Linked DNA regions of Oryzias latipes. Each later gene encodes a partner of the first gene's protein in a complex. Links are inferred from orthologs where the notes say so. Each region holds a gene or a part of one and is shown in the gene's direction. Other genes may lie near its edges.

Region 1 (3,653 bases):
TGCAGTACTTTTACTTCCTACGGTAAGTAATCCATCTCCCTTCCTGACCCTTAGCTGCTTTACTATACATCGACATATCCAATAGATGTCGTTTTTATCGTCCTGCAGTAATGAAAAGGACAGCCAGGGAGAAAACATGTTCATGCGGTGCGTCAGTGAACTTGTTATCGAGAGTCGAGAGGTGAGTGGACCACGGTTTCCTACCAAGGCTTGGAGAAATATGTCTGCGCCAATAAATCAGTGCTGTTTGACCCAGTCAGTAGAGCTGGATTTGATATCAAACTCCCTCCGCTGATGGAAAAAAGAGACGGTTTTAGTGTCGCCCATTGGCTATATATGAGAACTGGACAGAGTGAGTGTGATTTCACATATAGAAAATGGTTTAGGCTACGTTCACACACACGTCACACACATGTCGCGCGTTCTTGTACGTGCGTTTAGCCCATGGCGTTTACACTTAATGAGTAGGGAGGGGCAACCTGTTCTTTATCGTTTTTTTTTTTACTGTTTGGAAGAGATTTGATGCAAAATGTGGAAGCGGTGCAAATGCCGCGAGGCCTTTTTCTTTCTCAGCTCCCTTCTGATATGTGAAAGACTTTCTCCAGCCGGAAAAAACATACAAAACACAATTATTAATTTCTCCTTCATGATCAATTTTCAAATGTGAATTTAAAGGGACGCCATCCATACGTCAATACCAAACCCAAGTCTCTGATTGGTCAGTTTGGCGCATATATGAGCATTTACATTGACTTTTCATTCAAGTTGGTTGCTTTAACGCGTGTTGCCAACGTAGCTTCACTTCCCGCCACAACCAAATGAAGTTAATTCATTTGACTTTTTCTTTTGGCGATGTGGACATTGCTGCCATGTTGGAGCCCGACAACCTCAGTAAGCATTTGGTCTGAGTCATTGTCTCCATGGCAACCACTCTGCCTCTCAGCTTTGAGCGCGTTTGAAGTCCACACCGCTACCTCTTGAAAGCAGGCTAAACGAAATCTGTCAGACGTTTCAAACGCTGGCCTTGGGGCCCAGCAGGCTCCACCCATTTCTGTCGATCTGATTGGTCAGTTTATAACTTAAATAACTTGAAGTACAGAAAAAATAAAGGCAGATTAGCAAGAAAATGTAAAAAAAAAAGGAATGGATTTTCTGACCAATAGAATGACTGAGGAACAGCTGTTGATTGATGGGATTTTGGCTTCTTGGAGCCACTTCCTGTTTGGAACGCCATGGGGGAGGAGTCACTCAGTCCAGCTGTCATATAAAGTCAGTGGTGTTGCTGCACCAGAAGAGACATTTTAACTTCAAATTGGATCAACATCCTGATTTGGGCATTGTACCTTAAAATGAAGAATTTTTGTGTTACTAGTCACAACCTATTTGGTGTGCAGACTTTTGAACTATCTTAGTGAAGCGTTTTTGAATTTTCTGTCAGAAAATTTGACTTGTGAAACACGAAAAGTGCGACTGAGATGTTGCTGCTTAATCTCACAGCACAGATGAACCGTTGTGACTGATTTTTTTTTTTTTACTTTTCCTCTCAGTTTGACATGCTGCTGGGGAGATTAGAGAAGGACGGCAGTAGGAAGGTAAGAAGATTGAGTCAATCTCCCCTCCTCATTTATTTAATCTAGCTCTTTCTATTTGCCCCACACCTTCTCTCCATCTCTTTTCCTTCATCCGCTTCCAGATTTTTCTTTCTTTCCTCTCCTCTTTGTTCCCGCCCGGCACGATGTTCAGTCAGAAGTCGTCTCCTACACATTCAGCGCCTCACATCCAGAGAAAGCTGGTCACCTTTCAAGGATCAGAAGCCTCAAAATCTGCATTTAAACCTACATTTTTTCTCTTTACATTTCTCACGGCGCCTGCAGCACTCTCTCTGCGTGACGTCTGAAGCTGCTTTTGTTTCCGCACATTTTTCACGGCTGTGTTTTATCCCACACTCTATTCTGGGTACTAAACACATCCAGAGTGCGGCTCTGAACGCGTCTCACGCGCGGTTTGATTGAAGGCTTTGTTGGATTAACCGTCGAGCTCCTGGCAAGTTTGAAAATGTGTGCCGGCGTGTTTTGATGTCCATTCAGGAGAAGATTACGTTTAATTTCCTTCCTATAGATGCTCCACATACAGAACATACGAGGCGGACAAAAAAATGGAGATGGCTGCGTTCTGCAGGAGGCATCAGCGTGAACTCCATGACTCTTTCAACACACGTCTTTTTACCCATGTTGATTAATTACTGATAAGAAATTCTAATTAACTCCATGTATGATGTCACCTTCTTCTTCTTCTTCTTCTTCTTCCCTCTTTCCCACGAATCTCACAAAAGCAAACATTGTGCCTGACCAAGCATTAAAACTCATGTACTACCTGTTTTTATTTTAATTTATTAGATTTTTATGATTTGATCACACAAAATGTTCTTTTTTATATCAATACTATTATATTTTATTGAATAATAAAAAGCATTCACATCATAGATAATTTAAATCAGAAAAATAATATGCTTAGTTTGAGTTTATTTGTTTATTTATGAACAACGGATTTAAAAAAAGTTTAGAATAAATTATATTTGAAGAAAAATATCAATTTATAATTTCAAAAAGGATCAATTAAGATCTATCATTTTACAATTATTTTAATTCCAGCCTTATTTAATATGATCAGCATCTACGGTGTATTATGTTGGGAAAACTGACAGAAGCCAGAATTACTACATAAAATTAAGTAAAATAATAAAACATTTTTTGTGTGTCTGGTTTAATTTTCTTTAAATTTAAATCTTTATGTAGAAACGAATTAAGAATCTGAGGGGTCATAGAAGAAATGAGAAAAAAATTAATTCAAATTAAATGCAATTCAGCAATTTTTCCATTAAGTTAGAAAATGATAGTCATATTCAGTCACATAAATGTCTTCATGTGGTTAAAAACTATTATGTAACAACATTTTAGTGAGATCAAATCAAATGAAACTTTATTTATAAAGACATTTTCATACACATGCAACAAAACCACAAACGGATGTAAAAACAAACAAGGATTTATGGATCAACTGACTGTTTTGAGAATTCACAGAGTTAACAGGTGGAGAAGGAAGCGGAGCCGTCTGAGCTAACAGGACAAAACTGGATTTTGATTCACACTCCAAACCTCCGGCTCAGCTTCTCCTCTCACTCCTCTGATCCCCTCTCCAGCCCGGCGTGATCGACAAGTTTGCCGGAGACACCAGAGCGATCATCAGTAAAGTGGCCTTAGAGGCTGAGAACAAAGGCCTGTTCGAGGAGGCGGTCAAACTCTACGAGCTGGCCAAGGTGAGCAGAACTGCTGGTCTTTGCTGCTCTCCGCCGAGCCGGTGGTCCTGAGTTCCATTTGTGCCCCCGCAGAACCCAGACAAGGTGCTGGAGCTGATGAACAGGCTGCTGAGTCCGGTCATTGCCCAGGTTAGCGCGCCTCAGTCCAACAAGGAGAGGCTCAAGAACACCGCCGTGGCCATCGCAGAGAGGTGAGGGGACGCCGCAGGTGCGCGCCAACAGTGACGCTACGGATGCTAAAAATGACCCTCCCTGTGTTTCTGCTGCAGGTACCGCTGTCAGGGGATCGCAGGGGAGAAGGGCGTTGATAGCACCTTTTATCTGCTTTTAGACCTGA
Region 2 (3,753 bases), on another chromosome or scaffold:
GTGTAGTTTATCTAAAGCTCCAAATAAGACATGATGTGTGTCCTTAACATGCTTCCACTAACTGATATAAATAATGCAGAACATGTTTTTTTTTTAATAAACATGAACCAGTGTTACTGCTTTACTTGATTTTTCTGATGAAACTTTTTAGCTTCCGTCCAGATGCCAAGAAAAAAAGAACATGTGACCGAAGTATTTTTTTTTTGTATAGCCTCCATGGTCAAAGTGTCTCTATGTGCCATATCTTGTATTCCTCAAATAAAAAGCTGCTCAGTTTATTCTGTGCAGGCTCCAATACTGGTTTTAGCACTTCATCTGTGATTTAGATTCTTTCATACTATGTAATAATCCATGTGTATATATCAGGCTGTTGAGATTTTTCTCCTTTTGAGTTTTTTTGTGTTATTATCTTTTCATGCAAACTAAAATTCATTATGTACAATAATTAAACTGAGGGCTAAACAAATCCACACGTTTTTATAATGTAGTTGATTTCGATTAACGAGAACAAGCGAATAAATTGGTAGCTTCCGTCTCATATGTTACAAGACAGTGTTATGCAATGTCTGTAGTTGTTTTTGAAGGGAATAAATTATTTTGTTACATTGATAAAACCAAAACAGATCATCCTCACATGCTTACGACTGGATTTCTTTGTAATGCCACATTTCAATCAACATTTTCATCTTGGAAATTATTGCTGCAAATGTAACCATTGAGTATCCTGCCTGTTCACCTGTTTTTGAATGTTACTTTTGATCTGCACACAGAAATAAAAAGTAGCTTAAGTGGATGTGTACTTGTTTTTTGTCTTTTTGTTTTGGTCATATTTAGTAAATATTTTTTCAACCCTGCCATTTTCATAATAATGAATTTATTTTTTATTTGTCATTTTAAATATAATTAGAAAAAGACATGTTTTATAGTGAATTAGGAGGGAAGAGGAAATGTTGTGTATTCTGTGTTTTTCCAAATAAACATCAGGAAAACTATGAGCCTGTATTAGACATAAGGTCTATATTCTAGTATATTGAAATCTATTCTTCCTTTGGAAGGGATCCAGTTACAAATTTTACAAATATTCCCTGTTAAAATAGTTTTTATTGTAATATATACTGTCAGATGTGCATTTCACAAGCTCCATTACATTTGTCTGCACTTGTTGAGAATTGTTTTCAATCAATTTGTTTTTTGTTATTGATTAATTTAGTTTTGTGGCCTAACCCTGAGCAGTACTGAGCTCCTTTGGAGCTTCTTGCCGTTGCGGGTCATGGTCAGCAGGTGGCGGTACGGAGCTTTTTTGACGCTCGCAAGCCGTTGCGGCTCCCGGTCACCAGGTGGTAGGACTGAGCTCCTTTGGATCCTACTCGCTCACTGTTATTTCTGAAGAAGAAGAAGAAGAACGCTCCCAAAGCAGTCAACATGGCGTTCAGTTTTGGCGGTGCCACGAGCAACACAGCACCAAGTATGTCTGTTGTTTGTGAAGTTTTATCATATTTATTTAGTTAGGAGTAAATATATATTTATCGAAGCTATGCTGTCATGTTTTTTGTGTGTTTATGTCAGTTATATATATGCTGTGCTAGCGGATCACAGCAACTGCCGTTAAGCTACAGTTACGGTCAATTGCGAAAACTGGCTTTTATTTTTTTACGCAATTAAAAGCTTTTGACAATACTTAAAATAGCACGGTTTTGTTGAGCTATGTGTACTTAGCTGCCGTTAACAGCGCTCTGTATCATGTGTCATTGCAAAGGTACGTCCGGGTTTTCATTTGGTTCCTTTGGTGCCAAGACAACAGCGTCCACATTTGGGTTTAACCCGACAGCCATCACGACCACCGCCTCGTCCGGGTTTGGCAGTAAGTCTGCGTCTTCAATTCATTTAGATGCTGTGGAAAATGTAATATTCGGGGGCTTTCTAACCCATTCCTGCTCCTTTTATTTGCTAACGAAGAAAAAAAGCACATGACCAGTTAGATTTATTTTTCATAACTGCTCTGTTGTTAACCTGCAGAGTCTTAAGTCTTAAATTTTTATAACAGATGAATATTTTATTATTAAACAGCATAATCATAATTAAAAGACTACTTGGTAACGCGTTTACAATAGATCAACAGGTGATCAGTGGGGCTTGAACTGAAATTCCTTTTAGCCTGGTGGTTGTGGGAAACTGAATTCTCTACTTGCTTGATCCATTGGAGAGAATGACTGTTTAATCCACTGAAAGATGGACTAAATTCAGGTCTAAAATATCTTAAAACAAACCAGAAGGAACTCTGATCATGATGATGTACTTATTTGTAGTAGATTGAAAACCAAAATAACAAAATCTCAGTGCAGTGGAATAAAATTACAGTATGTACAATTTAAAGAAAAGAAAAGAAAACTGAGGCCAAACAAAACCCTACATTTTTATAATCTTGCTGTTTCCAATTTATGAAACAAGTTATGAAATAGATCCAGATGAATATTTTATCAAATAATAAACATGCTTGTGGGTTAGTTGCCCTAAATAGGGCTAGTAAACTATATTTGATCATTCATTTGATTGTTTAATTTTACACTGTTTTTTATATCTTATTTATTTTGAGGGCAGGTTTCATATCTTTGATGAGCTGCTTGATTTGTTTCATAGCTCTTACAGCTCCTGGTTTTGGGGCAGCCACCACCACCACCGCACCAGCCACAGGATTCGGCTTTGGCTCCACCAACACTGGTAAGATGCGGCACAGAAAGAGCTCGTGTGTTGCTTCTCAAGCTTATTTTTATTACAAATTCCTCCTCTTCTTCTAAATGTATGCCAGGCTTGGCTTAATTTCTTGTAACCCCTCCGTGTCACTCTCTGTTTCTTGCTGCCTGCCTTCCCCGGCTGCAGGATTTGGGGGGCTCGGAGCCGGAGGCAGTACGGCTGGTGGGTTTAGTTTTGGGGGGTTTGGTTTAAATGCCAACCCAGCTGCAGTGAGCTTTAATGTGGGGTGCTTTGGTACAGCAACCACCACTGGCTCTGTTTTCAATTTTGGTAATAGCCTGGCTAGCACAGGTAGATGACTTTTGTGATTCAGTTCATTGTGTGTCTGTTAAAAGAAAAAAACACATCTTCATTCATTTGTCCACTTTCCCCCCACATTTCACTTGATGCTTGATTGTGTGCTGTTCACTTGGTTTACTGTAGTTCCACTTGCATAACATTTGTGCAATTATAAGCTGTTCATCCCATATGGTTTCCATTTGACTGTTAGTTTCCAGAGCAATGCTGTATTGATGTCTCGATTTGTTTTCTTTAAAAATTGTGATGTTGTTTTTGTGTTCATTTATGGTTCTATTCTTTCATTTTTGCTTCTTCTTAAGGGTCACCTCCTTGTATTACATTTATTTGTATTTTCTTCACCTCCCAGGCGCTTTTGGAGGCTTTGGGGCAACAACTACAACTGCTGCTGCACCGGGATCCTCTTTTAGTTTTGTCAACCCCTCCAACACAACAGGTCAGCACCAAGTTCCAAGAAAGAGATCAACTGTGCTCGTCACACTAAAGATGAGCAGGAATCAGTCACCCTTTGGAGAAAAAAAATGGCCATTTTAGTTACTAAATTCTGCATAGATGTTCCACCTTTGTTTAGTTTAAACTACTAGTTATGTCAAATGCTTTTTATTACAAAATATAAATGCTTTAGCGATGGAAATGTAGTAAATAAATCAATGTTTTATCATATTTGCTTGAATCAAAAATGAAATCAAATTGGAAGATTGTTTA
Region 3 (3,753 bases), on another chromosome or scaffold:
TCTACATCACACTTGCAAGCTTTTCCAACAGCGTTTTTGGTCTGCTCCCGATTCACAACAATTTGAATAAAGAAATTCTCAGAAATGCAATTTTGAGCTTAACTTTCTTGTTTTATGTCCTCATCATGATACAAATGCCACAAAAACAACAAAATCACAATTTTCGTCAAAGTGGGATTTGAAGGCCAGTTAAGAAACTGCATGAATTTGCATTTTTTTCTGTCTAGATTATAACAAGGTTCTAAGTAAAACTTTATAACGTAAAAGAATAAGAAGTGGGGACAAGAAACCAAACTTTCTGTACAAACCATTTAATTTAAAAGAATAACGGAAATGGGTTTTGTTGAAGACCCATTTTTTTAGAACCTTTCATAAATCCAAATTGTTGCATATTTTCTTAACTGATCTTAAGATTTTGATCAGGAGTTTATATTCCATTAAAAATTATGTATTAGGTCTAATTCAGCAGCTGTGGTTTACATGCGCATTTACATTGAAACCGGAAGCTTTATGATGGACGTGTTTGATTAACTTGAAAATAGACAGACACGTCTTTATGACGTACTTTGTTGCGTTCGGGTTTTGTTAAATCAAAATTTCGAACAGAACCACGGGTAGATTGACAGCAAGGACATTTTTACTGTAAAAGACTGATTCTAAAACATGTTTGCTTCTTGGAATTTACCCATTAGTTCATACGTAACTTAACTGCATACCGACAGATGCCGCTCAAAGAACATCTTCATAATCTTGTAAACGTAAATAATTCGAACCATGATTTCTATCGATCTATTATGGTAATATTTGCTCTCAGCTTAATATATGTGTCTGCCTTTTCATACAAAGGCCCCAAGCCGATAGTTTTTCTACACACAATGTCGTATTTTCATATTGAGGATCTAGCAATTACTATTTAAAACAACAGACCTGAATGCATCATGTCAATGACGTCATCTAGAAGAGCCTGGAGCGAGCGGCTTGCTGCTTTAGCGTCAGCCCACGCTAGAGATCCATTAAGCAGTTGAAGAACTGGGTTTGTGGAAGCAGATAATCAATCGATTAATACATCGATTGAAACCGAACCTTCATTGTAACTATTTATTGAATATAAACAGACATAAGAATCAGAACACTGAATTTTAGAGGGTAAATACCTCTGCTAGCCATCAGTTTCTCCATCGTCACTTCCTACGTTTGAAAATCGCGGCTAAAGAAGCTCAAATGGAACTACAAGGTACACCGACTTTTAAATAAATTATTCTGTTTATGGGGAAAATATGCAAACACTTTAAAGACAGTTAACTTAATCCGGTACTTCCTGGCAGCTTCTATCGACGTTTATTTTTCTCTACTAGAGACTGACAAGATAATTGTAAACTAGCTAACATTTGGTCAACCTTTGGTTTGTTAAAACAACCAATCCACTTATTGTTTCATAACGGATTGCTTTATGTTTTATGTGCTGCAGTGGCTTTTTACCGGAGGTTTATCTTGATTCAAAAGAAGAAAAGTCTTTCACTTTTCCATTTACACACTATGAAAAGTAACGTCTCACTAACTTCTCATGCTTTAAAGTTTTATAATTCAGACATTTGGTCCTCACATTTCTAATGTAGCTCTCAATAGATGGGTCAAAGTGATCTGCTGGGGTGAATCAGACTGCCTCAAAGAGCCTCTAAAACGTTTTTCCTACCCAAAAGAACTTTTTCTAAGTGTAATATTTACAGCAAAAAATAAATAAATCCGTCCAAAAACAGTCACAGCCCCTCGATGGGCTGATCAGAGGAGGACATCTCTTCTAAGTCCTGACTATTTAGTTTAAAGCCGTTCTTTCTTTTTTTTTTAATACAAAACACAATTTTCTTTTCTTTTTTCAACGTTTTTTTTCTTTTGTTTTGGATGAATTTTAAAGTAAAATCCATTTTGAAGCGATGGATTTCCTTCATACAAACGCCAGAGAGCAGCATATAGGATGCTGATTGGACGAACTTAGCTTGCTGAAACATGTCTAGTTTAGCATACTTTAAGGCAGGGGTGTCCGGCTTGCTGATGGTTTCCACCTGTGGTAAGCACCAAAGGCAGGAGTAGACCGAAAAGAAGCAAGACACGCTTTGAGAAAGGTCACTCCTCTGTTACAGGAAGTCATAAAGATGGCTTTGGATGTCGTCCTTGGTGTTTACTCTTTATTATTATTTTGGATTACTGATCATTGATTTTTACCTGGCCTAAAAGGTAATTGGGGTGAGAAAATGAAGACACAAAGATCTTGAACGTTCCAGTTCTTGCTGCATAATAACAGAAAGCTGCTGCTAACCTGAGCATAAAATGTTGTCTGTTTCAGTGGGTACTGAACCAATGAGTCTGGGTTCTCCCACCTCTCCTAAACCAACCTCTGGAGCTCAGTTTCTGCCTGGTTTCCTGTTGGGGGATCTTCCTGCTCCTGCCAGCCCACAGCCCCGCTCCTTCAGCCTGTCCACCCCCATCTCAGAGAGCAAAAGTGCACACCGAGGTGAGCTGGGGGACGCATCCGCTGCCTCATTTGGGATAACCGTACGGTCATTTGTCCTGAAACTGTGTTTGCAGGAGGACCAGGCGGTGTCGGTTCACCCATGCAGCCTGTTGTCCCAACACCTAAAGACAAGAGTGGAGCTCCTCCTGTTCGCAGTATCCATGACGACCTGGTAACAATGGGCACGCCCCTCGGTGCTCACAGGCAGGTTTGTATGCTTGAAAGTAATTGTTGCATTGCAGCATCCACCAAAAAACATAACTGCTTAAGATTTCTACTGTATTGTTGGAGAGTTAGAGTTCCATGTGATGAATTTGATGCATCAGCTAGGGACATTTAGGTTAACTTGATACCACAAAGTTAGAAAAACTTATACCATGGTCCAGGTAAATACCTGATTCTGATTGGCTGCTGGGTGTGCATTAAGTAAGGGTTAATGGCCGACGAAGTGTGCGTTTATTACTTTTTAACGCACGCCGTGGAAGCCTGAACTTTGCTTCCGCGAAGCGCGTTAAAAAGTAATAAATGCACACTTCGAAGGCCATTAACCCGCTTATACCATGGTCAGTTACAAAAGCAATACATACTAACCAGGTTTTAGTCCTTAATTCTTGTTTTTTTTTTTTCGATTTGGATCGTTTTTCTCACAAAAAGCAGACTATATGTTACGTTATGCAGCGCATCTGCAGCACCACTGCAGTCAAGTTTCGGCGATATATATATATATGCTGATCGTCCCGATGGGTTGAATAAAGCATCAGTTCAGAGAGAAAGATCACCTCTTACCGCTTGTTTTTGTCCAGATGATGAAGCAAAAGGTTATTTTAAAGAAGCTGGCGCAGTGATACAAAACGTTTAAGCTAGCTGACCGGAACTTCTTTTTTCACCGTGCGGTTATCATGTTTTAATGCATACCCAGCAGCCAATCAGAATTGAGTATTCAACCGGACCATGGTATAAAAAGTGATAATCCACAGTGATAAAAAAGAAGTTCCGGTCACATTTTCTATATATTTTCTTATAATAACTGCCTTTTAGATGTTCTTAACAATTTCGCTCCTGTAAAAACCCGGTCTGTTTTATTTGTTAAATCTTCCCCCTGGTTCACCCCTGAACTCCATAAAATGAAAGCCAAATGCCGCCAGTTGGAGCGGCTCTGCAAAAAAACTGGCTCTCCCGTCCATAAGGAAATATACAATGAACGGATTTTACAATACAAGGACTTGGTTTCTAACACTAAAACA

The links. The genes of interacting proteins can lie anywhere in the genome.
Region 2: nup93 (region 1) and nup54 share a complex: the UniProt entries of both Homo sapiens proteins name them as parts of the p62 complex. The link is inferred for Oryzias latipes from reciprocal best matches to the Homo sapiens genes NUP93 and NUP54.
Region 3: the proteins of nup93 (region 1) and nup35 are in contact, whole or in part, in a crystal structure (PDB 7MW1), measured with the Homo sapiens proteins. The link is inferred for Oryzias latipes from reciprocal best matches to the Homo sapiens genes NUP93 and NUP35. Residues at the interface, in NP_055484.3 of Homo sapiens: Tyr266, Tyr269, Asn402, Ala407, Asp408, Lys409, Thr410, Glu411, Tyr413, Tyr448, His452, Phe453, Val455, Asn456, Leu461; in NP_612142.2 of Homo sapiens: Ala88, Pro89, Pro90, Val91, Arg92, Ser93, Ile94, Tyr95.

The regions. Positions count from the first base shown.
Region 1 is NC_019864.2:28,049,403-28,053,055, forward strand, and holds part of nup93 (nuclear pore complex protein Nup93), read left to right. Parts: coding exon 1-22; intron 23-108; coding exon 109-181; intron 182-1,547; coding exon 1,548-1,592; intron 1,593-3,199; coding exon 3,200-3,316; intron 3,317-3,388; coding exon 3,389-3,507; intron 3,508-3,585; coding exon 3,586-3,653. UniProt on the Homo sapiens protein: Plays a role in the nuclear pore complex (NPC) assembly and/or maintenance. May anchor nucleoporins, but not NUP153 and TPR, to the NPC. During renal development, regulates podocyte migration and proliferation through SMAD4 signaling.
Region 2 is NC_019870.2:10,484,490-10,488,242, reverse strand, and holds the start of nup54 (nucleoporin p54), read left to right. Parts: upstream 1-1,278; 5' UTR 1,279-1,422; coding exon 1,423-1,465; intron 1,466-1,756; coding exon 1,757-1,861; intron 1,862-2,637; coding exon 2,638-2,718; intron 2,719-2,877; coding exon 2,878-2,913; intron 2,914-3,397; coding exon 3,398-3,484; intron 3,485-3,753. UniProt on the Homo sapiens protein: Component of the nuclear pore complex, a complex required for the trafficking across the nuclear membrane.
Region 3 is NC_019879.2:12,115,198-12,118,950, forward strand, and holds the start of nup35 (nucleoporin NUP53), read left to right. Parts: upstream 1-941; 5' UTR 942-1,221; coding exon 1,222-1,234; intron 1,235-2,341; coding exon 2,342-2,509; intron 2,510-2,583; coding exon 2,584-2,717; intron 2,718-3,753. UniProt on the Homo sapiens protein: Functions as a component of the nuclear pore complex (NPC).